7 linked regions of the Oryzias latipes genome follow. The protein of the gene in region 3 interacts with the protein of the main gene of each other region in a pairwise test. Links are inferred from orthologs where the notes say so. Each region holds a gene or a part of one and is shown on either strand. Other genes may lie near its edges. The genes, in order: chrd, nell2, homeobox protein Hox-A1a, fbln1, chic2, nov and thrombospondin type-1 domain-containing protein 4.

Region 1 (4,026 bases), on a different chromosome or scaffold from region 3:
GCATGTGTTATTGCATCGTGATCGGCGCCTTGTCTTTACCTGGCAGCTGCAGGAAAAACACGGGTCATAGTTGGGGGTCCAGTTGGAACCGTGAGCATGGTACTGGTTCTCAAAAAAGCAGGTGTGGGGGTCTTTCTTTATCTCCTCAGGGTCCTTCACAAAGAAGTCCCCGAACTCGGCCTCCTCCCCATCTCCTCCAACACCAAACTTGCAGCTGTTCGGGACATGAACCTCAAGAATGGAACAAAAAGAAAAGTTTAGAGACAAAAGCTGTCACAAAGGTTTTGTGGTACATGTTGAATTGACAGCAGGGTTCATGTTTCCTTTTGTGTGTTTTTTTTTATCAGAATCAGTGTAAAGTTGTCGTGAAGGTTTTGCATTTGGCTTTGCTTTACATACTCTTCCTCGTATTTCTCCTTGAGGGTTCATCTTAGTGATGACTTGGATGAAGGCTGTTCCTTGGTCCAGATGTTGCAGCAGTTCAGCGCTGATGTCCTTTAAAACTCCTTGAGCCTGAGGAGTCAATGTAGAATCTTTTGTGTTTCTGTGTTGAGTCTGAACTTATCGTGGTCATCAAACAGGGAACCTACCTGGGAGCCAAAGAAACCTGTCAGCAGCCTCTTGTGTGAAGAGCCGCTGTCCTCCAAATCTCTAATCTCAGCCAGTCCATGGAGGTGGGCGTTCACTGTGCTGTCATCGGTCTTACTGAGACCTGCAACTATTATTTCATAGTGCAAATGGCACTGTTTGTCTACCGACACCCAGGCGTGGCCAGAGGCTCCGGTTCTCACAGGAGGGGACACAAAGTATCCAGCCAGAGGGGTGGGGAGCTCTGAAGGAGACAAAAAAACATATTCAAAGGTGTTTAAACTCATGCAGAAGAAATCTGACATGAAGCAGAGTGACGGCACTACAAACCGTATCTGGGCACATCCAGACCGCTGTATGGCAGTGCCTTGATCTGCCCACGGAGCTCCCCCTCCTGGTAATGTGCCGTGGCCACATTGATGAAGAGCTCGTTCTGCAGCAGCATGTGGATGTATCGAGCCTCCATGGGACTCCAACTGCCCTCTGCCTGACCAGAGGATTTACTGTACTCTGGGGTCAAATCGTAAAGGATGGAGCGCTTGTTTCTGCGCCGGGGCTTCAGCTCAATGGTGAGGCCCAAGACCTCGCTGCTAAGACCCGCCACCTGGACCTGAGGAACAGAATGACATACTGAAGACTGTTTAACCCCCTAAAACCCAAGCTAATACTTGAGCTAACCCTTTACACACATAGTCACAGGGCTCCAGTTAAGAAGAATTAACTACTGCAGCTATTTAACCCAAAATGTGATGTCCATGCATGTGGATGTCAGGTCTTAAGAAGTTAAGCTGAAGTTAAGGCTGAGTAAATCCATGGATGGGTTTCATCATTTCATTGTGATCAAACTTAGGTCTAAAAATAGAAATTTGAAAGGATAAAATAAAGATATTTAGGAGTTTAAAAATTATAGTTCAATAAAATGGAAAAACTTTGGGAAAAGCAGCCTATTTATGGTAGTCTGGTCCTTTTTGATAATTTTGTAGCTTTACAGTTCATTTCAGAGGAATTTCCTCTCTGATCTTGAGTGAAACTGTTCAATAAACATTAACAGATCAACACAGCACGCTGTAAAAAACAAATTAAACCTAATTAAATACAAAAATCACCAGCAAACATAAATTCTGTGAAACAAGTGTCCAAAAAAAGCCTCATGTTTATCATAACAGTCATTTTTTCTTTGGAAATAAAAAAAAATCCTCTTCTTATTGTTCTGTATGTGTTATCATGCATTCGACTCGGATCAATCACTGCTTACTGATAACGTCTGGCTCCAACATTTCGGCGTCGGAATCGCGGACAAATGGCAATTGAATTGACTTATTTTGGCTGGAGCCAAAAGTGTGGCATTTTCCACACTATTGGGAGCATCGGATTATGAGGTGCACCATATATAAATGGTTTATATTTGAAATTATGTATAAGTGTTTGTGGATTTACAACACCTGCAACTCCCAATCTTGTTTGCAACACATAAAAAAAGACTGATGCCACTAAAACAAACATTTGTGAATACACTAACTCCTTACTCTGTTGGTAACACAAAAGGAAAAAAATCTGACACAACAAATATTTTGACAGCGCACTGTGTACCTCTCAAAAATTGTTTAACCCCTGTCCTATCTTGTGTACATCTAGAATGAATCCATGTATAAGGTGCTATGGAACATAAGGTGCACTGTCGTTTTTTGAAAAAAAAAAAAAGGCTTAAAAGGCTTTTAAGCGTGTCTTACAGTGGCGAAAATAAGGTAAGCCATTTTCAGATGTGATGTCACATTCACTCGTTCCAGGTTCCAAATTCAGTCAGTTATCTGCTCTGACAGATCTAGTAGACCTGCTGACCTTATAGTCCAGCGTTCCGTTACTGTGGAGGTTAAAGATGGCAGATCCCACACCTCCCGTCTTCCCTGGTGTCAATGTGTCTCCGCTGGACATCACACTCTGAATAGCTGAGACAAAAGCAGGTTAAGGTCAGAAGCGTGCCCCTCTCTGTTATGATGATGGGGCAGCTCCAGCATGAGGCAAAGACCGTCTTCAAGACATCATCTCCTCAGGTTTATACCTGCAGACTTTTGGGCACAACAATATAAAACTCTCCAAGAGAAAGCTTAAAGATGAGCTAACCCTTTATGAACGGGGAAACCTCAAGGAGGATTGAGATGAGGGGATTGGGGGGGGGGGGGGGGGGGGTAACAGTGGGGGGAGAAGGAAAAATGCAGGATAAAGAAAAGAACTTTGAAAACGTGAAAAGGAACAATGCCAAAACTACACGATGAGAGGAACACATGATGGGATTGAGTTGTGTGCTGGGCTCAGATTCTTTACACATGACGTCGAGCTGTTAATCACCGCTCTGGAAGAGCGGCGAAGAGTCGCGACCAGCACGCTGTGACCCTGACCAGACCCGTGTGTGAGACTTTGCAAATGTTTTGCACACCTGCATTGCTGTGCAGGTTTAAACTGACAGCAAGAATATCTAAGAGACAGGCTGATCTCCTGTTAGAAGATCGTGTGTCTTCATGTTTTCAGACCCGAATGACCACAGCATTCCTCTGCTGTCCGTGTTTGAGTCATAAATGGAGTCCATAAACATGACAAGACAGAATAGAGACAGAAAGTCAGAGTATTTACAGATCAGAAGGACAACCCCCCCCCCCACACACACACACACACAGAAACATAAGCCAACACGGACACAAACCACATCCTCAGGAGCCTCAGAAGTTTCAGGCTTTTAAATTTTATGAAGAAGATCTCCAGAAACACTTACTGTCACAGGACTTTCTGCTGGTGATGAATCCGGAGATCCGCCGGGGGTCTTGACCCTGAGTTTCTATGGTTATCTCCAGCTGACCTCGATATAACAATAACAGTTCCCGGCTGGTTAAGTTGGTCAGTACTTCTGCAAAGTCTGGATCCTGCAGAAGAATTTGACATTAGAAAAACGTTCTCCATAAAAAAAAGCCTTCCTAATGCCAAGGATGAAAACTTGTCTTCAGAAAGTCTGAGCTTGTATTGGTGCAACACTGACCGACAAAACAACCTCTTAAAATTAAAGACAGATGAGAGTTTTCTGTTTTGAGTTTGTTCAAAGCAAAGAGAATCAGCACTAAACAAAGATGACGGCAAGACAAGAGCGTTCAAGACAAACATTTATATTACGTAAGGACACTGAGATGGCCAAATTGTACCTCCAGGCGGGAATTGAGCTGCGTTCACAGATGTAACTCATGAACTTTGATTTGAAGCAGACGGATCGGAGCGGACTTCGAGGACGACTGAGTTATTGGGACAGACGGATGAGGGTGTTAAAGAAATGTAGCTTTTATGACTGCAGGCCTGAGTTCAACATAAATATACATGAAGCAGAAACTCACAGCAGCCAAAACAGCACACTGGGAGGGGCTTCTCGTATTTGGCGAAGAAAATGAGACTCGGAAA
Region 2 (4,026 bases), on a different chromosome or scaffold from region 3:
CAAAGATGAGTGGGAAAAATTCCTCCATATCTCTTATCAAAAACGCTTGACTGAAAGTGAAAGTTATTAACTTCAAGTGATCATTTTTTTAAACAGAGTCATGGATTTTTCTTTTTTTTCTTGCAAACCCCTTTTTGCAAGAAGGCTTGTTTTCCAAGAGGCTCTTTCCAAATTGTTTAATCTAGTACTGCTTCATCATGGAGGTGTTCCAATTTAAAATCTCCACACCATAAACAAGATCATAGGTTTGAAGGTATTGAGAGCTTGTAGGTCCCTTTTTTTTTGGAAAACATGCAGATTCTTACCACACTTTAGAACTATTTCTCTCATGACGAATTTCCAGTCTAACTGATCCCATTCATGTAAAATGATACAATTCAGCTTCTGCAGCTAAATAAACAACATTTTGAGCTATGTTGACTTAAAAACTCTTGTCTCCTGAGTGATCGCGCTAACCAACTTCCATCGAACAGGCAGCTAAAATTCAACTTTGTGACTAAACAAAAACGTTTGTTGCGTCTGGGCCTTTATATTCTTGGAGGTTTGAGGACCAAAGACATGAATGATACATGAAAATGTAAAGCTGCATTGTGAAGCTTCGTTCACACTGCCCTCGGGAACGCATGTTCAAGGGACCACTTTCAATGAAAAGTCTATGTAATTGCACGTACATGCGCACTTCACAAAACTCTTGCATTCACACACAGGTTTTTACGTTTCGGGCCCTATGTACAAATACGAGCGTCCATTGAACGCACCTCAAGACTTAAATCAGGTCGAACTTTGACCATGGTGTATGAATGGCATCGCTTTCACTTTTGATATTCCCTTTCAAATGATCATAAGGAAGAATTAAACAATTGCGGTTTGTACCCGTAAGGAATTCTATGACACTAAGGCTTTTCATATATCAGAGTAGAACCGTAAAAAAAAAAAAAGCCGGATCAAGATTCACGAGATTTCCAAATTTTGCACCAAACCTCTTCTAGCTGTAGGGGGCGGACATGTGCCAGTATCTGGTAGCATCAGTCGAGTGTGAACACCATATGCTAAACAAGTGTTTTTCAACCAACGTGCCGCGGCACACCAGTGTGCCATGAGAGATGGAGAGGTGTGCCGCAGGAAGTTTTAGGTCACTTATCTAAAAACATTTATCCTGACCAGAATATCAGCTCTATGTTCATCAAAATGGGCTAAGGCTTTACAATGAGTAGTTTGCCGACTTTGTGGAGCTCATTAATACAAATACACCGGATCTTTCAACATCTTCTATTTCTTTCATGAGGAGGGCGAGAAAAACTTTTGACAGTGGCTCCTCCCACACGGTGCAGGAGCGTCCGATTTATAAAGACACTTTTGGACAAACGTCCAGCAGCCACTTTGAGGGTTAAAACAAAAGCAGACGCATATTTGAAACGCAAATCGCCTTTGTTGTGAACAGACAATGGATTTCTGTACTGATCATCGGTGAACCCCTAGTAGCTACCTGCGGGATCCGGTGTCAGATTGTGAAAAGGTGAGTAAAATAATCTTTTTAAAAGAAACAACTGCTTTCTAATATTGAAAAAATCAATTTCAGACTTTAGTCACTATTGAAAAACTTGCAAGTTAAGTTTAAAGATAAGAAACAACAAAATCAAAGAAACAGCAATAAGGTGAAGTGGCCAACAGACACATTTAAACTGAAATGAAACAATTTAATCACACAAAAAAAATTGTTAAAGTTACACTTTTGATTTAGACAGAAGAAAAACTAATAAACTTCAGCGTTTTCACTTTTTATGTAGTTACAATTAAACCAATAGATATGAATATAATGGGGTTTGTTTTTGTATACAATTGATCAAACATGCTGTGATTATATATTTGTTCAAAAATTGCTCTTGCACCAACATAAAGAAATATTCAAAAATAAATACCAGCTTAGAAATAATCTCTTTTTATTTGTTTTTTGTGAAGTTTACACGAAACTGCATTTTAATAAACTGGAGGGAAAAACAACAACCTGGGCAAGTTTTCAACTAATTCTGTTGAAATGTATTATCAAAAACCATTGCAAATTTTAGGAAAAACAGCTGCAACTTCATATTTTTTGTGCCTCAATTATTAAAAAAAATGCATGAGAGATCGTGAAGAGACTGTACATCAACACAGACTGTCACGTTTATATTTTTTTAGGTTGCTGGTGTGTCCTCTGTCACTACACACCAGTTGGGAGGCAAACTTAGTAGTTCAGTATTGTGGATTTGCCACTGAGCACATTTTGCTAAACTTATTTTCCCCACTGGTATTATAAAATATTGATTTGTGCAGCTTTATGAACACACACACACACTACCTACTTAATTATTAACCATGACTGAGTGCAAACTACAATTAACAATTTCAGCTTTCCAGTGAAGCGGTGAATAAAATATGATTTAGTACAAATCCAAGATTTTAAACTTTTTCCCCCTTAAAGGTCAAGGAGGATCACTTTTTCCAAATGACTTAGAGTAACTGAAAACGTATGCTGCCATCGGTCCATTTGGCAATTAGCCTGAAGGTGCCACGGTTTTGCTCATATCTTAATTAATTAAACAGAAAGTAAAGTATCATTCATTCTGCTGGTTTGCTTCATTATTTTTTTAAATGTCACACACTGTCTGGAGAAGAGGAGTGTGCTTGTACAACAGAGGAAGCTGACATTTGTTGCTGATTGGCCCCGTGGGGGACAGCTTCAGTCAAACAGAGCAAGTTTAAACTTGTTTTCCTGCTCTTTGTTTGCACACTTGGAAGATGGAGAAAAAACAAAGCTTGAAAAAAAAAGAAGCTGGATGAAAAGAGTTCTAACAGAAAAAAAACAGTAAAGCATCACTTTAGAATTGTTTTTTGTCTATTTTTTCTATTCTTTTACATTTTTATTTTATTCCCCACCTCACTCTACTTACCTGGCACGAGCACACTGAGCACCTATCATTGTCCAGCACCCAAATCTGCCCACTGTGCTTGACCTTGTTGTCATGGATACAGTCGCCAGTGCAGTTATGCCCGTGGGGGCACCGACAGTCATATCCTCCTTCCAAGTTGAAGCACACTGTGTCATTGGCACAGGTGTTTCTCCCTGTCTTGCATTCATTTATATCTGCAAGGAGCACAACAATCACACAAGTGGGTTTTGCATTTCCTTTTTTTTCCAGTGTGATTACAAATTCATGAGATAAAAATATCGGTAGCAGTCATAAAATATAAGGACACACCACTTCACAAACACTACTGGAACGACAAGGTAGCCCGGAAACCCACTTTTGGTCAAATTATAATCTTATAGCTGTCAGGCAGATTTTTTATCTTTGAAATGTGTTTTTTTTTTCACATTTAGGCTGAAACTAAAAGCAAAGATGAGGTCAGTGAGCGTAAAAGAGCTTCAGCTATTGTTACAAGCATTGCTTCAATGTTGCCTTAGATTGAGGGTTTCCGTTTTGACAGCTTTGACATGCTTTCTGACAGGCTGAATCACACAGAAGATCCCAGAAAAAGAACAGGCTGCAAAGGAGACATTTTTAGTAGGAAGAATACACATACAAAAAAAAAAAACTAGTTCCCTCAAATTCCCATCTTTGGCAACAATTAGTAACCAAATAAATAGTGATTTCTGGCCAAAAGTTGGCATTTCGTTAGCATTTTGTGGACAGAGAAGCACTTTATCGGATCAATATAGCCTTTTTTTGTGAACTAACTAGTATACTATTGGCAAAAATGACCATTTTGTGCACATAAACTAGCACTTTGTGGGCAAAAATTAGCATTTGCCCACCCAAATTAGCAATTTCTCTCAACAAACTAGTATTTTGTTAACAGAAATTCGCATTTGTGCTCACAAATTAGCATTTTCTGCAATTAAATTAGCATTTTGTGCTCACAAGGATGCATTTCGTGAGAACAAACAAACATTCTGTAAGCAGAAATAAGTAATTTTTTTGAACAAACTACTTTTTTGTAAGGACACAATGGATATCTTATTATTCTCAATTCCAACTACTTACC
Region 3 (4,624 bases):
CAAATGCTGCAGCTCCTGCAGGTGGATCCAAGGTGAGGCTGAATGTGGCACATTAATCAAGGCTCTTTCGTCGTTTCTTTGCCCTTTTATGGTGGGGTGGAATCGCACTCTGCACACCAGGAGTTTAAAAAAAAAGTCATCCGGAAACTCCAACCATGTTCCCACAGTGCTACGTTTTTGTTGTTGCTATTTTTTCCACTATTTTGCCGCCCAATATCTGAGGTAAATTGTTTCTTTGGACGTTGTTCTGTGAACACTCCGTTTGTGACATCCCGTGCTGAAAGTTATCATAGTTCATCTTGTCGTTTAGGGGAAATCGTGGCACTTTTGTTGAACTTGTGGAGTTGTTGAAGACGAGAGTGGTGGGGCTCCCACCCTTGTCAGTGGCATAACCTGGATGTTTCAATCAATAGAGTTTCTTTTTGTCCCCTCAATATAAGCCGAGAGCTCGATAAGGTTGTCATCACAAATGTCGCTGCTGACACTCGCACTCTCATCTTCCCCGCGGATAAACATGCCTTTATTATGCCAATACCTTTGACCCTTGGGATGGCCGCGCGCACAGCCGCATTCATTGTCAGGCTTGATGCGTAAAACCGACACGTAAAGTTTGTGCGTTTTTCTGCAGACATCTTGTGGGTATTGTGCATAAATTCTAACCCAACATCCCAATACATGTTCCCCCAAAGACGTGACAAGAAAGAAAACATTCAGAGCGAGACGGACTTTAATGCACACGATTGACCCGTAAACGTCTCTCTGGACAAAACAGTTTGCATGTGCATCGCGGGATTGAATATATACAAAGCCTGAAACACTAAAGCTTTGAACGGCCTGTTCCGCAACTGATAAAACTCAGCGCCACTGCAGTCATGACACGTGAAGGCAGCTTGCAAATCTCACAATACATTCAAACAGTCGACACACAGACACCTGAAACAGATAAATAACAGGGGAACCATAACAGTTCACTCACTAAACATTCAAAAACGAGGTATTCTCGTTGATTGTGTGTTGCCTTGGTGATGGCACAGTGCGTTCACACGTGTGATCGGAATGCACAGCTTGGGCACCTTTGAGGTATTCATTTGTCAGCAGATTTTTGATTATAGCAGCAATTGGCAGGTAGAAGTGACACCATCTAACAAAGTTTGGCAAATTTCGAGCCAAATTTAACGCAATGGGGCTTGTTTGGACAGCAGCGCCTTTGTTTTTACAGATACATAATACAATATATAACAGTTCTTGACTCCAGAAATCACAATTGTCCAGGATCCCTAGTGTTTTCCAATTTATGGATGTCTACACAACAAAAACTTCAATACAAGTAAACTTAGGTAAATACAGAACGCTGTGGCCCAGAGAGGAAAGGAGGGCAGTTGGTCCTCAGTTTGAATTGTAGGCATCCGCTCCTGTGGAAGACACCGTGGATGAGGAGGGGGAGGGGGTGGAGGGAGCCGAGATTGACTTCTCAGACGCAGCATCGTTTGTTTTTTCTCCCTGGTCTGAGGTAGAAACTTTAGCTGGCATGAGTCCTTCTTTTTCGCGCTTCTTTTGCTTCATTCTCCGGTTCTGGAACCAAATTTTCACCTGAGTCTCATTCAGCTGCAGCGCAGCTGCGATTTCAACACGGCGAGCCCGAGTCAGGTACTTGTTGAAGTGGAACTCCTTCTCCAGCTCTGTCAGCTGCTTGGTGGTGAAGTTGGTTCGAACAGTGTTCGGCTGACCAGAATATCCATATTCACCAGACCTCCCTGTGGGCAATAAATTCTTCACTTTAAAAACAGACTGGTTGGTTTTCTGTCATCAAACAGAACGTAAACTCTGGAACAATGTCGTCATAACTTCACTTTTACGCAGCGTCTGATAACTTTTACGCATCGATCAGTAGTTATCCTCTTATATTTAATATAACAAATATACAAGTTTTATTATATACTTTAGAGCACATTATTTTCTGAGAATGTAAAGATGTAAACTTTTTCCAGAAGCAAACATTTTAGCTATTAATCTTTCATTAATCTCGTTTACACATTAGTGCGTCCAGTGAAGAAGCATGTTGTAGGCGCCCTTCAGCTCAAAGCTCGGATCATTTAACCCGCTTGTTTTAGACACTACGTATACGTCCATGCACACACAAAAACAAGATAGCACACACCTGTTTTTGGTGGATTCCTCTTAACTTTCATCCAGTCGAAAGTTTGCGCGGCCACTGCTCCCTCGGACAGAGGGGAACAACAAGCTTCCAGGTGTCCGGCGTGCAGAGGGGACAGGGGGTTCGAGGCAACAGGATACGCGGCTGTCTGCTCATGCCCGCCGCCATAGGCAACGTGGGTATACTGCAATTGACCCAGGGGGGCGGCACTGTAACCATGACGATGCTGAGGGACCACGGATGAGGATATGTTACCTGCATACATGAGTGGGCCACACTGAGGAAATGCAGCTGAGTCTACTTCCTGGTTGAGAGTATAATGGTTGTAAGAGGCGCAGAAACTTTGGGGTCCATAGTTGGAGTTGCAGGCCGGATGGGCCCCGCAAGAGAGACCAAGCGAGCCCGCAGTAGACTGGTATGACCCCGAATGAAGAGAGATGCTGTCGGGAGACGTCCTGTTTGACATGAAGTGCTCATCCGCCCCGCAGTTGTTGACAGCAGCCCCGCAGGACTGAAAACTTGTAATCCCGTGGTCCGAGTGGAAGGTTCTGACCGAACACGACCCACTTTCTCCGCTCATCACCGAATAGTCTAAAAAGCTGCTCATTGTAGCATTGTTGTGCCCTGACCGAGGGACTGTCTTCTTTGCAGACACCCCTCTGCTGTCTTGCCGCTCCCCACTCTCACCCTAAGTGATCCTGCCAACTTGTACCTTAACTCAGTTCTTATCAGTAAGGGAAGGAGGGCGCGTGGGGTGATATCAATGAACGGGTGCTGTCACGTGGGCCAGGGTCAGCCAGTAAGGTACTTGTCCTCGTCCACTTAGCCGGTGACAGATTGGTGTTTGAGGGGCTATTTAAATTCCAAGCGCTCGTCGATCAAGGTGACGCGCGCCGCCACTAATGTATGGGCCAAGCAAACAATGAGCTGGGAGTCAGACGGCGGTGGACAGCTCCGGGGTCGCAGGAGGAGCGGGACGCTGCAGACATGCTGTACCGTAACCCCCGCTGCCCGCTCTCCCACAGGGAGAGATTAGCGAGTCACCCTCCGCAGCCTGACATGACGACGGCCCAACACTTTGACCCCAGGTACGGTATTTTTGGAACACAGAGAGATCATTGTCTGCATGCGTGTGTGTTGGAGCGCGTGCACGTTCGTGCCCTCCACGCTTTATAGGCGCGATATCATATAGCCTATAACCGTGTCACCCTCCCTGTAGATGGATGGATGGCTCAGAGTGCGTGTGCCACTGCCATAGGCTATCTGTGGGCTATTAATGTCCCATTCTAATGCGAAATGTTTCACGCTTGAACATTAAGGGATTTTCTCTGCAAATATTGTCACAGTGCGACAGTGAGGGAGAGGCAAGAGGGGTTCCGACTTTCTTCCACTGACAGAAGCCTTCTTGGGCTTTGCATTTTCTGTGCATCTGTTTTAGCATGCACAAGAAAGTGACGTGGCGCTGCACATCTGTTTTGAGCGTGTCACTTCACAGCATGTGGCAGTGAAAAACGACAACCCCGGCCTGAACTTTTTACCCCGACACATCCCGGCTCGCCCCTTGTGGTGACGCAGTAAAATGACGCGCAAAAAAGCAGAATGCGTACAAATAAATAAATGTCAAGAATGATGAAACGGCAAAGACAACACAGGGCTTCAGATTGAGTTGTTATTAGTGTGTTTCTTTCTCCCGTGGTCGCGGGGTCGTCCATTTGCCTGCAATCCTCTGCGTGTTTTCATTATGCATAAATGGTGATCAAATAAAATAACAGGATGAGGTCTGTCCTGGCGCTCCTGATTACACTGCTTCGCGTAAAGCTCGTGGAGATATTAATGGCACCAAAAAGTAATGGGGAAATCTATGAGTGTGAAGAGAAGAGGTCTGGGGGGGGGGGGGGGGGGGGGGCTACTTAGGGCAGTGGTGGCAGATCCCCAACCTCTCGAAAAGGAAGGAGAAGAAAAGGGAGGGAGGCAAAAGAGGGGAGTCACTTGGAAGAACGAGCGCCCCTACAGGCTATAGGAGGTCAAGCAGACTTGATGTTTATTAACATTTCATGGTCAGTAGTTTTCTATAGATACAGACTTCTAAGATGATTCTGAGTTTAATTGAAGTTTTTAGTTTATGCAACCTTATACGTTTTCCCAATGTGTGAGGGCAAAACTTAAAAAATCCCTTTCTGCATAAAACTACTTGCAGTTTTCCCACTTTTTAGACTTTTAAAGTTTTGTTTTAAGATTAACTTTGTTGAAAACTGTAACAACGGTTTGGAGACTTATTTTCTCCAAACTGCTACCCTGACCAGACCATAACCAGACCAGTATCACGGTGCCACATGTTGCTGGTCTGTTAAATGAAGTTGAATTACAACATGGTGATTTTTGTCTCTGAAATAATTCAGAGTTAATAGAAACAACATTTTCTTTTTTCAAGTTTCCAAGAGATACATAAAGTGAGTTTGGTTTGTAGGG
Region 4 (4,477 bases), on a different chromosome or scaffold from region 3:
TTTAAATAAAACTGTTGGAGTGAAATGGAAATAATGTATTAGTTGTTGTTTTTTATTACTATTTGTTCATGTACCTAAAGTCACATTGTCATAACAATATTAATCACTAAAAGTTTTCCTCATATGGTGCAGCCGTAGACGTCAGCCATAGAAATTGGTTACTTCCGGCTCCAACCAAATGGAGACAATTCATTCACGTTTTTTTTGTTGTTGTTTTTTTTCAATGCGGAGGCTGCCATGTTGGAGCCCGACGACGTCAGTCAGTAATGATTGGTCCGAGTCGCTCTGAGTCAACGTTCCTTTGACAATCACCATCTCGCCAAAGCAGGAGTGGGCTTGTTGAAAAGCCCACACCCCCCAACGCTTTAAAGCAGGCAACACGGAATCTGTCACTCAAACATTTCAAATGTGAGATGGCGCATTCATTCTGGTTGTGTTCAATAATGTTGAAGTGATTTTAAGAAGTGCACGGCACTCGGTCAAAATGTCTGTCTGTTGTTATGTTTTTTTGAGTCGCAAACAAGGTCGGGTGTTATTGGAAATATGTCAACGCGGCTAACATGTAGCCGGACTGTGTTGTTTTTTTTACGTGTTGCTAACAAGGTTAGCAGCAATGCTTGTTTTAGCGGTATCAGTCTGTATTTTTACAAGTTGCAAACAGGGTTGGGAGTTACAGGTATTCTAAATATGCTAATGTGGCTAACGTGTAATAAGTTCTAGAGTTACTGTGAATGCAGTTAATACAGTCTGATCAACTGACAGACTTATCTATGACTCTTTTGTCTCGATAATCCGCCTTATATATATAGATGACGTGTTCAAAAATAGACCTTTCATTGACGGTGCTCTTTATAATCCTATGTGCTCTATGGTGCAGAAAATAAGGTATTTTTTATTGAGGCATCTGATTGGTCAGTTTATAACTTGAATAATATACAGAAAACAAAATTAAGATTAGCAAGATTGTGTTAAAAAAGGTATCAGAGCAAGAATTATTATTCTGAGTAATATAACAACTGACTAATAGCTGTTTATTTCTCTATGGAAGTCTACAGGACTTTGGCTTCTTGGAACTGGTGGGTACTTCCTGTTTGGACCGTGAGGGGATAGGAGTCTCTCAGTCCAGTTCTCGTTTACAGTCAGTCGTCCAGGTGAGCTCATAGCTAACCTGTGATATCAGGGTTTGCCAATCGAATCCACTGAAGAATGCCCTCTCGCAAGCCCCCTGCCCCCGGGCCGTCTTGATGCCACCTTTGCAGGCCATTTCCCCCGCCGATGCTCGACAGCACTGTTCGTGAATGATGCTGGAAAGTCAAGTTAAACTATAAAGTCACACTCCGATCATCTTTTGATCCATTTTAAAAGCGTTCCCATGGCGTTTCTTATTTGTAGATTGTTTTTAGCCAAAAAACAAAAACAAAAAAACTGTGCTGTTTTCTAAGACAGTTTCTGCAGAGGAGCAGTAGTTCATTAGTGATTCACCTGTTGGCACCAAATGAGCCTGCTTTCATTTCCCATCATCCCTTTGTTTACATGCTCCCCAGCTAGTTTAAAGCCCCTGACATCCTCAACTTAACATTAGCTGGGCAACAAAAACTGGTGATCAATGTCAGAGTTGTCCAGCTGTACAGTTTTGAGCCAGATTCCAGCTCAGACGAGGAAAACAAAGACGTACATGGATCTAGTTGTCTACAAGTGGATGCATCAGAATGGAGGGGAGCAGGGAGTTTCCACACACCTACAAGATTTTTCAATTGAAAAGTTTCATCTGCTCCTGACTCACAACGATTTGAATTAAGACATATTCAGAAAGGCAATTTTAAGTTCAATGTTTTTACATATGTCCTCCATCTCGAGAAAAAACACAAGAAGAAACAACACAATTTTCATGGAAGTGGGTCTTTAAAATACGCCCTGCTGGTATTTGCCGCTGACCCTCCAAAACGTCTGTGGCCTTAGGGGGGAATTTTTTCACCTGCCTCTAATTTTGCACAATTTTGACTTTAATTGAATGTTTGAGAAAACTTGAGAAAGCCCATGTGATGACCCCCCCCCCCAAACCAGGTGTTGCTTACCTGCACATAGCAGAGGTGAGGACCTTCTGAGCTGCACAGTCATGTTCCCTAATGGCAGTCGCCCTCCCAAGATTACAGCACCCCTCCACAGACAGCAGCTTGTTTTCTGCATTTTAGTAAGCAGGTCCAAACAATGAGATATTTAAAGATCGTGGTGTGAAAGTTCATCTCTAAAACAGGGGGAAACTCACCTTCCCAGCCCAGAATTCCTCCAACAGAAAGGAGGAGAATGATCCTCAGCGCCATGGGGGCTCGCTCTGCTCAGACGGCAGGAGAATCAGCGGAGTCCTGCGGGACGGAGCACATCCCAGTTCGGCCTCGTGAGGGTTTGAGTGGGTGGAGAGGGCGGGGAGATGCAGGCTCTCTGTCAGGGACGCAGAATGATTAAGACGCGGCTGATAATGGGATTTGTTTTAATGCGCGACGGCGGGCGCTTCTTACTGAAACAAAGTACAGTTTGCCTCTCATAAATTCCAGAAAAACCTGGATTAGTTTTAATAACTGATCACCAAATAGGAAAGTTTAATAAAAGCGCTCAAGATAAAGGTTTTTCGCCCTTTTTTACACATTTTGGTTTTGGCATTATCTGCAAAAAGTCAATACCTATAACACTACTATTTATCATTAATAACCCATGCAATCTTTCGTGGAGACAGAATCACAGTGTTTCCAATGTTGACATTTGTCCTACATAAATGAACAAATTGTCACTATTTTACAGTAGCTTAAATTATTCAAATAATACTGAACATTTTTTGTTTTTGAATCCCTAATTAGTAATAGCATACCCAATACAGCGCTACATTTCTGATACTAATCAATCATGCGCGCGTGACTCTTTACCGGGACGCATCAAGTTTGAGGTTTATCAGTTTAGTTATTTAAAACGTTACTCTTCAGACTATATTCACTGAAATAAAAATGTCTCCGAATAATTAGTAAAATCCTTAAAAAACAAACAGATTTTGAAGTTCTTCTTGTTGTTAAGCCAGTCCGTGAGCAAGAAGAGACAAAATGGGTTATAAACAAATGGTCCAGTCCAACTCAGAATACTCGTTGGAATGTCAAAATCCATCCATCTTCTTCCGCTCGCATTTCAAAATAAGGCAGAAAATTAGATTTGAAGATAGTTTTAAATCCTGAAGTGAAGGAGGGATTAAAAAAACACAGTGTGAAATTAACGTTTAAACAAACAGACATTAAAGCTTTATAAAGATCTAAAAAGACGTTTACGTTTTGTTAAGTGTTTCCCCTCTGCAATGATGAAATACATCTTGATTTATCTTTAGGAAGACCATTTGAACCAACACAAATGTAAAAGAAATGGAAGTGAAAAGAGATAAAAAGATTGACTATGGCGTTTTACTGTATGTGTAAAAAAATACATATAAACCCAGACAGTAAACAGCATATTTTTCTTTCATCAATGGAGATTTGTGCTTTCTAAATGTACTATTTTATTCATTTTAAATGATTTTCTATTGTAACTGGGTAGCTATAATGGGTTAATGGCTCAATTCGTACAGGCAAAACTAGAGGAAATGACAATTTTATGCTGGTTTACACTTTAGGTAAAGTGTAAAGTTAAAGAAAATGATTTTACACTTTAGGTACAAAAAAAAACTATTACCAATGGAAAACAGGACAATCCTTGCAATGTATGAACTAAGACAAACTGTTGAGAGAGAAAAAATTCACATATAAAAACATGACAAACATGTTTATTATAAACATTGTAAATTCTGGGGATCTTTTTTCATCATTTCAAGAGTTCATTTACAGGCGAATTTTCACTAAAAATATTTTCTGTACCATTGATTCTTTTCTTTTTAACCATCCCCAGCTTTTAAACGCCTTTACACATGACCTGGCGGGCGGGCGGGCAAGGACAAAAGCTGGGAAACAGATGAAAAAGTGGATTATCTTTTTCTGCATTGTCTGCCGATGATAAGACGTTATTAAAATCTGAACAAGTGCTGTTTGTAGCGGCTTGTGTGTGGGTGTATTTACGGCACTTCACATTAAAACAGTCTGCAGTGCTTCCTGGGCAGAGAAACCAATCAAAATAAAGCACGATAAAGAAACAAACCCATAAAAATGACTAGAATGTTTTTTAAAAAAATTCATAAACACAAAAAAATGCTAATAACATAGGTAATAATATTGCATGCAATACTGAATCAAAAACAGTTTTGTTCTGATTTTAACTGCAGAATTAGCACATATTATGTACAACAGTAAGCTAAAACTTAAATACGTATCCATCTGTGCGTTTTTCAGTCACATAAAGATAAATGATGGGTTTCTTCTCCATGTTGCAGCTGCGGTTCAGTGTCGCTGTAAATACAGACACTAATGTGATGCAAAAACGGTCATTGCAGGAAATGTAGGGGACTGCGGAA
Region 5 (4,734 bases), on a different chromosome or scaffold from region 3:
TAAATGACTAAATGGAGACAGAATGATAAATACAGTGGATTTTTCTAAATGGTGAAGTGGGACTTGCTGTGTTTTGGTCAGTAGGAAACTGGACCAAATGGGTTAAAGACTCCTGGTCTAAACAGATTAGGAGTGTGGCTGTGGGTTTCCTCACCCTTTTGCTGAGGCAAATTACGGGCCACAAACTGAAGCCCAGCGTGCAGCAGCAGCACAGGCAGCCACACAGCAGCCACCGCACGTTCACCGGGAGGGTCTTCCTTAAACAGCTGTTTACTCGATATATACTGGCTTTGAATTCCTCTGGTGCCACCTATGGGGAGTCAAAATTCACATTCAAGCTCATCCACGTTAGCATCTTCCCGTCCCATTTAAACAAAGTTTAAAAGGAAATTAGAGCAAAAATATGACGCAAAATTGATGACTCACCTTTCCTGTTAGCGCTGAGGGAAATTCGGACTCAAATTTGTTACTTAGTCCAAACCTGTGAGACAGAAAGTACAATCAAAATGTATCAATCACACTGCGACCAAGGCTAGAAATGCCCAGGACTCAATTTCCATTGCTTACTACCCCCCTTTGTGACTCAAAAGTATAAATGTGAGAAAATAATGGCAAACGAAACCCGATAAGTGTAACTTTCAAACCGAGAAACGGTGAACTCTTTTCTAAAATATTAACTTCAGTAAGGGATTAAAAAGAGCCATTTAAGCCGTTGTTTACAGTTTTAAACGCAGCGCCTACTACAAAGACTCTCACATAAAATTGAAAATCCCACACGCACTACTTAAGACACCCATACAACAAACACACACTACTACTAACACAACAGCTCTCACACTGCTACTAATGCCTGTAAACGGTGGTTGTCACATTCTGGTACAATTATTTACACACTCCAGAAGAAATGCTCAGAAGGTGTGGAAATAGTTTAACAATAATAATAATTATGTACATTCATAGATTTGGGGTCGGTCGGTCGTACCGGTTCTGCACTTAATTCTTTATAACCGTTCATCATAACCATTATTATTTATTAAAGCCCCTCTCTGCTGAAAGTTCTGTTTTTAGTGTTTTTTAACATGTTTTTGCGGCACTTTATTCATGATGGAGGACATATATAAAAAAAATTAAGATTAGATTTGCATTTCTGAGTATTTCTTTATTCAATTTGTTGTGAATCAGGAGCAGACGAAAAAATGCCATTTGAAAAAGCCTGTAGCTTTGACCTATAGCTACAGTTAGCCGTTAACAAGCTCCCTGCTTAACTCCATGATGCATCCACTTGCAGACGACTAGATCCATGCAAGTCTTTGTTTTCTTCTTCTGAGCTGGTATCTGGTTCTAAACTATACAGCTGGATAGCTTCAATATTGCTTGCCAATTTTGTTGGACCAGAAATGTTAGGTTGGTATTGTGAGGGACTGTAAGCTAGAATGCAAGAGTGTAGACAAAGGGATGATGGGAAATTGGGTCATGCCAACAATCACACCCACAGATCGGAGACAAATTTCTAAAATGTCCTAGAAAACAAAGGTTTTTGTTGTTGTCTAAAAATGGCATAATCATTACTAAAAGACCACTGGGAACGCTTTTAGAATATATAAAAAATAATTTGAGTGGGACTAACCATTATAACTATATCTATTAATGACATATATTTAGATCACATTTTAAAACCATCAAAACTGTGTGGTTTTCTTATTTCTGAAGTGTCATTTACACAAGACACTTTGTTTTCCATTTGTGTGCCAATGCAGCAGTATGTTTGTTGTTAAGCATATAATCAAGAAGTCTAAAAATATATAGATATTCATGGGAAAACGGATGTTTTCTGAAGAAAAATAAACAATGTCTTTGATTTCCTAATCTGACAATGTTCCTAAAATTTCCTTTTAAAAAATGATTTTAGCTGTCCTCTATAGGAAGCCATTTTTCAATAAATCTAATGACCCATACATAATCCACACTTCGTCTGCCATTATCACTTACATATAACCTAAATGCTAATATTTTAGTTCTTTCCATTCAGCAAGCTTTTCCAATGTCTTACTTTTCAGAGCATGTCTTACTAGTTAGCAACCTTTTGTTGTTTAAATTGGTAACAGGACTAAAAATATTTCAATCCAACAGGAAATGTTGTATTTTGACTCAACAGTTTAGGACTATGTTCTGAATATAAACACAAATGTTAGATTTTCTGTTAGCCATGGCCTTATTAAAAACTGCATATTGCAAAAGACTTCTCTCTTTAATCAAATGTTCAATGTTATTGTTGTACATTTTGCTAGCTAGTAAGTAAACACAAACATATGACAAGTATTTTCTAAAGTTTCACAATTTTCAGCAACTGACTTGACAGTGCCTGAAATAAACTATTCTTATTTTGTGTGATAAATTCAAAATGTTTTACAAACTATCAAATGGACTTTTTCGAAGCTAAATCGACATATTTTGGCTAATAGTCGCTTAATTATGTTAGCTTAACAATTTAGCTGTATTAGCTAGCGGCTAACACAGTTAGCACTTACTTTTCTAGATAAAAGCCGCGGCTACAAATCGCCACACGACAACAATAAAGAAAAAAAATGTCCTCACGACCACCAACAGTTAGGCCGGTTCTTACACAGTGACGTGGCCAGATCCTCGTACCACCACCGGGTCCGGAGCGTACTTGAGAAGCTGTTCCTCTGCGGCCCTGTCCTCGTCCTCTTCTTCCTCCTCTTCTTCGTATATCTCATCAAAGTCCTCCATCATCGCACGGCTCAGCCTCGCACTTCCCGGTAAAGACACCGGGAGAGACACGGCTGGGACGAGCAGTGAAAGCTAACCGGGGAAAAACACGAGCGATCAGAAAGCAAAGTCATAAAACAGAGAGTGGTTCACATCGTTACGCGAGCTCCGAAACGAAACATCAACATCCGCCGCAGTAACCGTACGACACCGGAAGAGGGACGGGCGAATCTTTACGTCGATTTATCTGTTTTAGATTGGATTTTTTTTCTTCTTTTCTTTTTTTAATCTTTAATATGAAAAAAAAAAATCAGATTAAAATTTAGTAAAAAGTCGTACCATTAAACAATTACACTTTTTTTAATCCATGGAGAGAATTTTCGTTTACCTAAATCATCTTTTTAGCCTTTTCACCGTTTTAACATTACCATCAAGTGTATATGTTGTGGAGAAAGGTATTTCTCCAGAATCTATAGATAAAATAATAAATAAATAAATAAATAAATAAATAAATAAACTTTTTTTCACATTTTTATTTTACTTAAAATGGAGTTCAATTGTGCACTGGTTTAAGCACGAAAACGTCAAGAATATATGCATAAAAAATTGATTTCAGTAATTGTTCATAAAAAAAACAGGCTCAGCCTTTTCAGGAAATATTTTTAACTCTGCGTCCAATATAGAGAGAAATTAGACTCAGGCGGATTTGTGCGTGCGTAATTCTTTATTTGTGCGTAAATTCAGATTTGTGTGTGCGTAATTCTTTATTTGTGCGTAAATTAGAATTTGTGTATGCATATTCTTGCTTTGTGCGTTTGTAAATTAGGATTTGTGCATAAATTTGGATTTGTGCGTGATTTGTTACTCACATAATACGTTTTGTGTCTTTCTTCTTTCTCTTTCGGCTTTTCCCATCAGGGGTCGCCACAGCGAATCATCCTTTTCCACCTCACTCTATCATGGACATCTTCTACCCTAACATTAGCCAACTTCATGTCCTCTGTTAAGACATCCATATATCTCCTCTTTGGCCGTCCTCTTGCCCTCCTGCCAGGCAGCTCCATCTCCAACATCCTTCTACCAATATATCCACTATCCCTCCTCTGAACATGTCCAAACCATCTCAGTCTGGCTTCTCTGACTTTGTCGCTAACACAGGCAACATGAGCCGTCCCTCTGATGTACTCGTTCCTTATCCTGTCTAACCTGGTCACTCCTAAGGAGAACCTCAACATCTTCATCTCTGCTACCTCCATCTCAGCCTCTTGTCTCTGTCTCACTGCTACCGTCTCTAACCCATAGAGCAGAGCTTGTCTCACCACTGTCTTGTACACCTTTCCTTTGAGTCTTGCTGACACTCTTCTGTCACACAACACTCCTGACACTTTCCTCCACCCGCTCCAACCTGCCTGCACTCGCCTCTTCACCTCTTTTCCACACTCCCCATCACACTGAACTGTTGACCCCAAGTACTTAAACTCCTGCACCTTTTTCACCTCAGCCCCCTGTAACCTAACGCTTCTACCTTGATCCCTCTCGTTCAGACACATGTATTCTGTCTTACTACGACTGACCTTCATGCCTCTTCTTTCCAGAGCAAACCTCCACCTCTGTAGCTGTTCCTCCACCTGCTCTCTACTCTCACTGCAAATTACAATGTCATCCGCAAACATCATCGTCCAGGGAGATTCCTGTCTTACCTCGTCTGTCAGCCTGTCCATCAGCATAGCAAACAAAAAAGGACTCAAAGCTGATCCTTGGTGTAGTCCCACCTCCACCTTGAACTCCTCTGTCTGACCTACAGCACATCTCACCACCGTCATACTTCTCTCATACATGTCCTGAACTACTCTGACATACTTCTCTGCCACTCCAGACGACCTCATACAGTACCACAGCTCCTCCCTCGGCACCCTGTCATACGCCTTCTCTAAATCTACGAACACACAATGCAGCTCCTTCTGACCATCTCTGTACTTTTCCATCAACATTCTCAAAGCAAAA
Region 6 (4,662 bases), on a different chromosome or scaffold from region 3:
CCTTGGTCCTCCCTGGACCAACCGTGGGCCGGGTGGGTGGCTGCCTGGAGTGCGGAGCGGGTCTCCCTTGGGGGGTCCTGGCTCGTACCTGGGGTTGGGGCGGGGGGATGCCCGGAACTCCTGGGTGGTGGTGGGGTGCTCGTCGGGGGCTGTGGGCGTCCTTCTCCGGTGGGGCCCTGCGTTGGGCTCTCCCGGCGCGGCGGGGGGGCTGCTTTCCTGGTTGGGCTGGGGCAGCTCTCTCTTTCCCTCCGTGCCTCCCTGCTCTCTGGCTCTGGGGGCCTCGCGGCGGTCCTGCTGGCCCTGGCCTGGGTGGCGGTCTTGGTCGCCCGGGGGGCGGTTGTTCCCTACCTGTTCCCGTGTGGCGTTGGGGGGATTCCGGCTGCCGCTGCTGCTGCGGCGGGGGTCTGGGTGTGGGGGTGGCTGGGCGCTCCTCCTCTTTCTTTTCTCATTCCACCATCCATTTTAGAAGAACATAAACACTCACCTGAACACAGGTGTTAGCTCACCTTTGCACTAATAGTTTGTATGATTGAATGAATGAAAGATTTTACACTAGTTGGTTTAAAGGCATAGGTATGTGTTTGTGAACACTATCTGTTTTGTGTGCATGTTGACATGTGGACATTTTTGCAGCTAGCAGGTGTGTTGATAACATTTCAGTGTGTGTGGACAGGCCCCGCCCTTTTTGTACTACATTTGAACCGTACCGTAATGATAAACAACCAGTAAACCTGTCTGCTCTATGCTGCTTCATGGTCTTACCCCCCCCTCTCACTATCACCCCCCCCCCTCTCTAACATCCCTCTCTCTTCTTCCCTTCTTTCCTTTTCGTCCGGTCCAACACAAAAGATTTTCAAACATGGTTGAAATTAATAAAGTTTGGCCTCAATTACAAAAGGGGTTTATTCAGACATACCTTTGGTTTGTCTGAAGATTAATAACCCCTCTTGTTAAAGTAAAATATGTCCAACACAAGAGGCCCTCAGCTCTCATCTGCCTGCCTAGCTGCTGGACAGGACAAGTTTAAAAAAAAAAAATGTCTGCAGAGACACTTATCTACGTTTAATGTTGACAATGTCATTATCTTAACCAGCCTGGTTTGTTTTCCTAGTTGTGTTCTGTATTTGTAAAAAAGTATAATGTCTCTTTTATGTCTGTGCATGCACAATCCTGTAATATGTGTTAAACTAGTTAACTAGTTAATAAGGGCTGTAATTGGATATTTTTTTCTAAATAAATGATTGAATAGGTCCTTGGGGAAAACCCTTCACCCTACTGTCTAACTATGTAGCCACAGGGGGGCCTAAGTCTGGGTCACCCTGTGCCTGTCCCCAACCAGGATAAAATACAGGGTTGTGTCAGGAAGGGCTTCTGGCGTAAAAAATCTCTTTTACATCACCTGTGTAAATCAGTGAAAGCTGATTTGCTGTGGCTACCCCTAAAGGGATTTGCTGAAAGGCGAACAACACTTCATTAACTCATTAGCCCTTTTTAAACAATAAACATAAGTTATGATCAACATAAAAGCACCCATTAAAGACATTAATGTGCATAAAAACTTTACATCTGTATTTATAGTTTCGGTTATGTTGTCGCTGTCAGTTTAACCATAAGTCTCTTTAGCCTAATCCCAGACTGAAATTGAACTTTGAACCTTTTACATCGCTTTAGTTTCCCTTACAATGTGACCAAACACTTTTGCTCAGATGAGCTTTTACCAGATGTGTCCACAGCAGTGTGCCACCAACGCAACACTCACAGTGTTTTGGATCACATATGGCCCAAAGTTTCCACTGTGCAGCTATTTCAAGAAAACTAAACAAGTCTGCAGGGAATAAAATGGGTTTTCCATTGTGACCTCCCAGGTAGAATTTGGAAAGGCAGGTCAAAGAGGGTAAATGAGGGAATTCAGCAGGATGCATGTAATGAAAACAGCAGCAGAAGGAATCTTCAAACAGAGAGTCCAGGCTTGAGAGGAACATAGTGATGTTTGAGGGGAAAAAAATATGAAATAGTACAGAGATTCTGCTCAACGCGGCGGATGCTTGTCATGGTCATGGTAGGCTCTTTGAAAAGATTTTGCAATGAAATGTGACTCTGTCCATCATCAATCTTTTCCAAAATTCCTTCTGTTTGGTTGTCAAGGTGCCAGGGGTAAAGCTCGCCCATATATAAGGTCTCCACCTCACAGGCTGAGCCTTAGAATGACAAAGAGAGAACATCCTTCTGCTGAGAGAAGCCTAGACCCACGAGCTTCAGTTTAGTAAACTGCAGACAGCATAACATTTTTCTGATGCTGCAGATTTTTGATTGTGTGTTGCACAGGAAGAAGATGCACCATTGGTTGCACAGAAATGTCCTTTTCAACTTTGTGATAGCACAGGTAAGCCTTAGTGTTCTTGTAAAACTGTTTTACACATTTATTTACTGCTATTACCTGTTTTCTGTTCTATAATTTCACAAATCCCTTTTTTTTAATGTTATGTTTTTTTTTACTTATTATTGTAGCACATAATCCCACTTAGACTTGAAGTCAATGTAAGATTTACAGATATATCAAAGAAGCCTCTTGTTTTTTCTTCCAGGTTTTCACTCTGGCCTGCTCCCAGGTGTGTCCACGGAGATGCCAGTGTCCTGAAGAACCCCCCATGTGCCCTCCAGGCGTGCCTTTGATCTTGGACGACTGTGCCTGCTGCCTGGTGTGCGCCGCTCAAAAAGGACAGGTCTGCTCTGAGATGAAACCCTGCGACACGCGGAAAGGGTTACAATGTGACTACTCTGTTAACACCCACAAAAGGACTGGTGTCTGTGCTGGTGAGTTTTCAGCACCTGGAGCCTCATCTTCTTAACATTTGTAACTCCTTTCTCCTGGTAACACCTTTTCGTGTGCTGGGTTTCTTCCCTACAGTTAACGCGGGTAATGCCTGTGTGTTGGATGGTTCTGTGTATCAAAACGGACAGACCTTCTTCCCCAGCTGTAAATACCAGTGCATGTGCCATGACGGGCAGATTGCTTGTGTGCCACGATGCAACCTGGACATCATGCTGCCTGGTCCAGACTGCCCCATGCCACGCAGGGTCCATGTTCCTGGAGAGTGTTGTGAGAAGTGGGTGTGTGGCTTGCGGGCAGAGGCCAGTGCACTGGGCAGCCTGGCCATGGCAGGTGAGTGACCAGATTGTCCATGTTGTCCTTCATTATTCACAAACATGGAGGACTTTAACAATCTGCACTGTAAAATCTGAATCTTAAGAAATTAGAGACTTGTTTCGAGAAGAATTTCCTTAGATTTTGTCTTGCAAGAAAAATAATCTCATCAAGAAAAAGTTTTTAAATAGCAAAGTAACCTTAGTTTAAGAAAACATGTCTTAGTAACTAGATTTTTTTCTTAAAATAAGAATTCTTGATTGGACCATTTTTCCCACTTCATTGCCAGATTTATTTATTTATTTTCTTTTTTAAAGAGTGCAAATTTTTTATTCATTTCTAGGAGGCCTTTTGTTTCAGTGTGCATAGGAGCTGCATAACTGCCTAAAGTAGTATGAAAGTTTTAAGAGCTTCTTTTTCCATCAGTACGTTTGTGTTTGTGTATATTCAGCGTTTCGTCAAGAAGAAACCGTGAGCTTAAACAGTTGGGACCCCAGCCTGAACTGCATTGTGCAGACCACAGAGTGGGGGGCATGCTCTGAGACGTGTGGCATGGGGGTGTCCACCAGGGTTACGAACAAGAACGATAACTGTGAGATGGTGAAGCAGAGCCGGCTTTGTATGATCAGACCATGTGAGGGCCTGCAGGAACAGCTGACACAACTTCCACCATCGGTACTCTTCTCAGAGGAGAAATCTCTTACCTTTTGTGATTTTTTAATATTTTATGACTACATTGCCCATTATACTGCATAATAATTACACAACTGTGTCTTTTTAACCAGCAAAGGGGTGCGAGGTGCCAGAGGACGGTGAGGAGGGACAAAGCCATTCATCTGACTTATAAGAACTGCACCAGCGTGCAGGCCTACAAGCCTCGCTTCTGTGGTTTCTGCACAGACAGCCGCTGCTGTACCCCCCACAGAACCAAAACCGCACTGGTGGAGTTCCAGTGTGCTGAGGGAAAGACCACCAGGAGACCAGTCATGGTGATCCTGACATGTGTCTGCCACAGCCACTGTCCCAGAGACAACGCTGCATGGCAGTCATCAGAGACTGGTCACACTGGAGTCAAACTGTGGGCATAGTGTATTATATATATGACAAAAACAGCAAACGATGACACAATCAAAACTGATTCAAGACTATTTGTGCTCATAAAAATATTTGATTTTATAAAATCTGTATCTTTATTGGAACTTGAACGACTTGATCTCTCCTGGAGAGAGATTCAATGGTTAGATCATGTGATCAAGTTATTTTCTTATTTTACTAGTGTTGAGTCCAATGCAAGCACTTAAACGTGGTTCCGTATGCAGCTGCAACTGGTCTGCAAGTTCTTTACAATATTTTAAGACAACTTCTGTTTAAGAAGTTAAAATTAAAAAAAAAAAAAAACCAGAAAATCAACAGATTCAAGTTAGATAAAAGTGTAATTTATTAATAACTAAAACAAATAACCAAACAGGTTGGTATAGAAAGAAGTTATGACTAATTCAAAATGGTGGCAATTCAAC
Region 7 (4,026 bases), on a different chromosome or scaffold from region 3:
CAAACAGGCATCTGTATATTTAAAAAAAACTGTGTTCAACTCTGTGTTTCAGCTATAATAAATTGAAATTGTTAATACAAACACTTTTTATAAACTATTTTTGCAGTAAAATAAATGTAGTCACTGCATCTGTGGGAGCAGCAATAATTCAGGAAATGAATGTTTAATATTTTAGGCAGAATGCATTGTTCTTTATGGCTGAATGTGGTTCGCTTACAATGGTGGGCAGGAGTGTGTGTTGCACGGCTCCTCCTCGGGAACAGGCTTGGCTGCAGAGTCACACTTCCTCTCTGGAACCTCTTCATCTGTTTGCCGATTCACACAGATAATGACTCTATGCTGAAAACCTATAAGACACGCACAGAATGGACAAAGCTGTTTTTCTCGTGTTTTTGCACTTACACCCCACAACCAGCGGAGGGAGACATCACATCATGCTAAAAGGCAGACTGAAGTTTATAGTAAGGTGAATATGCAGATATCTTCAGGACTTTTTAGAGGCTGACCTTTGCCACAGGAGGCAGAGCACTGCGTAAGGCCACCTCTCCTCCACACAAACGGCAGCTGAGTGTCTGGGGGCAGGTCAGTGCGAGGAGGGATCCGCGCATTCCTGTTGGGCGCTGATCCTCGTTGCCGCGTCCTCTCAGGTGTCCAGCGGTCTGAAGATGGTTGAGAAAATACAGACGAGGAGGAGGATGAGGAGGAGGGGGAAGAGTGGGAGGGAAAGGAAGGGCCCGAAATAGGAGGAGAAGCAGGAGGTGGGTCCTCTATTGATACAGTCAGGGGACCTGGGAAAACAATAAAAAGACAAACATGGATGGACAAATTAGACAGGACAGGAAGGGCGGGAGGTTGGGAAAGGAACACAAGGAGGAGGGAGGAATGAAAGGTGAAAGAAGGTGTAAATGCAAAAACTGTGAGGACAAGAGGAAGGCAGTGAGTCACAGGCTAATGATGTCATGGTGAGGTCAGGGTCTCATGACAAGCAAATATGTTGAGCAGATAGTCTCCCATCTGGGTCATGGCAAACAAACACACACAAAAACGCTAATAAAAGACTCCCTTCTATGTGGTTCACAACCACACCCATCGTAATCCAAAAAGACGTCAGTTACGCCTCTCTGTCGTGTTTCCTTCAGTAATTAGGAAAGATCATCTCACCTTCAACCCATCCTTTCTTAAACCTGATGGATTTAGGATGGGGCTTGTGTGAATTAGTGATATGCTAAGCACATGCAAACTATAGAATACTGCGCCACTCCTGCACGCAGCCAACTGAGGCTTAAAGGATTTTCTGTCAGTGGGTAGGGAGATCGTACGATCGTAAAGGGGTCTTACTGCGAAGGGGTGCCCTCGCCGTGTCTCGCTCCCGTGGCCTCTCTCTGGGTATCTCCACTGGGGGTTCCCTTTCCCTCTCCGTCAGCTTTTCCTTTTCTGCCTTTTTCTCCACAGGCATGTAAAACTCATAGTCGATGCCCGGGTTGTCTTTGTGGAAAATAACCTGGAGAGAAAACAGACAATACTCATCTTGCAATAAAGAAACCCTTGGGGAAAAACCGCAAGTGTCAGACGTAAGATAGGCTGCAGACTTTGGACCCCTGCCCCTAAGAGGAATTCAGGCGATGATGCAAAGTCTGTCAAGTTAATCTTGTCATGTTGGTGTAAACATAATCAGTAAAAGTTTTGTGCCAACATTTGTTCATTTTAAAGTTAGTAGCTAAATTCTTTGGACAAAAGTTGAAAGAAAGCAGTGTAAGATCCCTGCTCTTGAACTGGATCTGTTATTATTAGGACATAGGCATCCTAATGTGGTTTACAGTGAGCTTAAGCAGATCAGTCTTTATCCATGCATGTTGGTAAAACAAGGCTGCCTGTCTGGGAACCTTTTTACAAAGAGAAAAGATGCAGCAGACGACTTTTGCTACAGTTGTTTGGAAAATTGATTAGATTCAGTAGCATGAAGCTGTGTGGTCACATACAAACCAACTCAGCTGCATCCATGTTTTTATTTGTATTGAAAACAGCAAACCCTTTGTACAAAATTCTAATTTCTTTAAAATCTCAAATGATTAGAATTGTTTCCCATTTACAGCAAAACATTTGTCTTTTTAAAATATAATGTTGTTCTTATCTAAAGATGTTGCTTCATATTTCTAGTGATTTACCATAAAGTATTTTTAGTTTACATCTTTTCATTGCTTTAAGGATGCTAGAGCATCCAGAGCAGCCACATAACATGATGCTTCCACCACCCTGCTTAACAGTTGAAATTTTGATCTGAGGCTAGAAAGAGTTTGTTCAGCACAGCAGATCAGCTTTCACTGATGCACGGATTTGGTTTGGCAGAGACTTTTACACCGGATGCCCTTCCTGACACAATCCTGTATTTTATCCGGGCTAGGACAGGGAGACCCAGACCTGGGCTTCCTTGTGGCTAAATGGTTAGCCAAAAGTGTGAAGGGTCTTGCCTGAGACCTGGGAAACAAACCCTGGCTGTCGATGTGCCAGGCTTAAAAGATTTTCTGTCATTGATAGCATCATACCATTGTAGCTCTTGTTCAATGACAAAAATAAGATTTCCCAATAATGTTGTGTTGGGATTAATTGATTGATTGGTTTATTTCAATCTATTTTGAGGAGGACTGTGTGTTTGAAGGCTTGAAGAAAGACATCCACAGGTTTTTCAGCACTTAACTCAAAAAGGACAATTTCTCCATATGTATTTTTTTTTAACTATGTCATGTTGATCATAATAAAAAAATCTTAAACCTTAATTTTCTCTGAAAATGTTTAAAAAGCTCTAAAAGTCAGAAGCTTTCAGAATTCAAGTTTCAAAGACTATTAAGAGATTTGGAGAGACTAATTCTTGGTTATGATGACTGAAAATTAATTTTGCTGTTTAGTGACAGAATGAGTTGGATGTCATTCACACACTCCAGGCTAAAATGTTCTAATCACTTTGTTGAACAAACGTAGGGCGACTTTTATGTCAAGAGTGAAGGAGAAGAGCAGTGCATTAGACCAAATAGCCAGTGTTCCGCTGTGATGCACTGTGATGAATGGGACCGGCTTTGATCATTTCAGTGTGGCCTGGTGCGGATTTAAACTACCCGGAGGAAAATGAGAAACTTTTTTTTCCGCATCAACAGAGATTTCAATGGATGAGCAGTCATATCGGCCCCTAAAACAAAAGGTTTTTGAAGAAAAAAAAAATCAAAGAACAGGGAGTGAGATAACCACAGAGGATTTTATCTATGCTCCTTTATTGAGTGATGTGTTCACATGACTGAGTTCATGCGAGACATCTCGGAGCAAACATCTTTGGAGCAAACTTAGGACATTACTGATCACGTTAGGAACTCACTTTGATTAAAATAGTGTTTTAAACATTTGTTGTGGATTTTTCTGATGATAAAGGAAGAAAATAAAGCGCAAAATTCCATTTCTGAGCATTTCTTTTTTCAAGTTGTTGTTGATAATGTGCAGCTAAACACATTATATTTGAAAAAGAGCTCCAAGCTCTGAGCAACGGGGAGAAGAATCGGGGGCACTAACAGTCCCGCCTGCAACTCAGAGGTGAATTTCTAATGAACTCCTGCCATTCTGCAGAAACTATGTCCTAGAAAACGACACAGGTTTTTTGATTTTGACTAAAAACGGCATAATCATAATAAAAAAGACCACTGGGAATGCTTTTACAATAGATCAAAAGATAATCGAAGTGGGTCTGTCAGGAAAATGTTTTATTATTTTGATTGCAATTTACCAGATTAACAATTTTGAAACTGGGATCGTATTTTAGTTAAACTAACAATTTTACCAAGATGGTTAGCACATTAAGATTTACAAAAGGTCAGGGATATAGAAAAGTATAACATAACAGGAAATAAAAATAGACAAAAATGGTAATTTGACTTTCTGTATCAAAAATCTGGCTTTAGCCTTTCTTTTCTGGTTTTCAATGTTTTACTTTAATATCCATATTCTATTGCAGATTCCTTCTTTATTTTTATTTTTTTCCAAAGA

The links.
Region 1: the proteins of homeobox protein Hox-A1a (region 3) and chrd interact in binary tests that used the Homo sapiens proteins (3 or more experiments, as listed by UniProt). The link is inferred for Oryzias latipes from reciprocal best matches to the Homo sapiens genes HOXA1 and CHRD.
Region 2: the proteins of homeobox protein Hox-A1a (region 3) and nell2 interact in binary tests that used the Homo sapiens proteins (3 or more experiments, as listed by UniProt). The link is inferred for Oryzias latipes from reciprocal best matches to the Homo sapiens genes HOXA1 and NELL2.
Region 4: the proteins of homeobox protein Hox-A1a (region 3) and fbln1 interact in binary tests that used the Homo sapiens proteins (3 or more experiments, as listed by UniProt). The link is inferred for Oryzias latipes from reciprocal best matches to the Homo sapiens genes HOXA1 and FBLN1.
Region 5: the proteins of homeobox protein Hox-A1a (region 3) and chic2 interact in binary tests that used the Homo sapiens proteins (3 or more experiments, as listed by UniProt). The two-hybrid records come from large-scale screens. The link is inferred for Oryzias latipes from reciprocal best matches to the Homo sapiens genes HOXA1 and CHIC2.
Region 6: the proteins of homeobox protein Hox-A1a (region 3) and nov interact in binary tests that used the Homo sapiens proteins (3 or more experiments, as listed by UniProt). The link is inferred for Oryzias latipes from reciprocal best matches to the Homo sapiens genes HOXA1 and CCN3.
Region 7: the proteins of homeobox protein Hox-A1a (region 3) and thrombospondin type-1 domain-containing protein 4 interact in binary tests that used the Homo sapiens proteins (3 or more experiments, as listed by UniProt). The two-hybrid records come from large-scale screens. The link is inferred for Oryzias latipes from reciprocal best matches to the Homo sapiens genes HOXA1 and ADAMTSL4.

The regions. Positions count from the first base shown.
Region 1 is NC_019871.2:18,963,226-18,967,251, forward strand, and holds part of chrd (chordin), read right to left. Parts: intron 3,504-4,026; coding exon 3,356-3,503; intron 2,535-3,355; coding exon 2,428-2,534; intron 1,199-2,427; coding exon 919-1,198; intron 833-918; coding exon 591-832; intron 514-590; coding exon 400-513; intron 232-399; coding exon 40-231; intron 1-39. UniProt on the Homo sapiens protein: Dorsalizing factor. Key developmental protein that dorsalizes early vertebrate embryonic tissues by binding to ventralizing TGF-beta family bone morphogenetic proteins (BMPs) and sequestering them in latent complexes.
Region 2 is NC_019864.2:12,486,703-12,490,728, reverse strand, and holds part of nell2 (protein kinase C-binding protein NELL2), read right to left. Parts: intron 3,125-4,026; coding exon 2,931-3,124; intron 1-2,930. UniProt on the Homo sapiens protein: Plays multiple roles in neural tissues, regulates neuronal proliferation, survival, differentiation, polarization, as well as axon guidance and synaptic functions.
Region 3 is NC_019869.2:11,314,961-11,319,584, forward strand, and holds homeobox protein Hox-A1a, read right to left. Parts: upstream 3,239-4,624; 5' UTR 2,763-3,238; coding exon 2,159-2,762; intron 1,755-2,158; coding exon 1,387-1,754; 3' UTR 710-1,386; downstream 1-709. UniProt on the Homo sapiens protein: Sequence-specific transcription factor. Regulates multiple developmental processes including brainstem, inner and outer ear, abducens nerve and cardiovascular development and morphogenesis as well as cognition and behavior.
Region 4 is NC_019881.2:6,843,960-6,848,436, forward strand, and holds the start of fbln1 (fibulin-1), read right to left. Parts: upstream 3,136-4,477; 5' UTR 2,322-3,135; coding exon 2,267-2,321; intron 2,182-2,266; coding exon 2,076-2,181; intron 1,305-2,075; coding exon 1,169-1,304; intron 1-1,168. UniProt on the Homo sapiens protein: Incorporated into fibronectin-containing matrix fibers. May play a role in cell adhesion and migration along protein fibers within the extracellular matrix (ECM).
Region 5 is NC_019859.2:11,115,804-11,120,537, reverse strand, and holds the start of chic2 (cysteine-rich hydrophobic domain-containing protein 2), read right to left. Parts: upstream 2,947-4,734; 5' UTR 2,755-2,946; coding exon 2,624-2,754; intron 482-2,623; coding exon 427-481; intron 311-426; coding exon 155-310; intron 1-154.
Region 6 is NC_019874.2:10,619,177-10,623,838, reverse strand, and holds the start of nov (protein NOV homolog), read left to right. Parts: upstream 1-1,804; 5' UTR 1,805-2,293; coding exon 2,294-2,383; intron 2,384-2,585; coding exon 2,586-2,814; intron 2,815-2,908; coding exon 2,909-3,163; intron 3,164-3,596; coding exon 3,597-3,820; intron 3,821-3,930; coding exon 3,931-4,233; 3' UTR 4,234-4,662. UniProt on the Homo sapiens protein: Immediate-early protein playing a role in various cellular processes including proliferation, adhesion, migration, differentiation and survival. Acts by binding to integrins or membrane receptors such as NOTCH1.
Region 7 is NC_019874.2:19,040,003-19,044,028, reverse strand, and holds part of thrombospondin type-1 domain-containing protein 4, read right to left. Parts: intron 1,502-4,026; coding exon 1,339-1,501; intron 789-1,338; coding exon 507-788; intron 348-506; coding exon 218-347; intron 1-217. UniProt on the Homo sapiens protein: Positive regulation of apoptosis. May facilitate FBN1 microfibril biogenesis.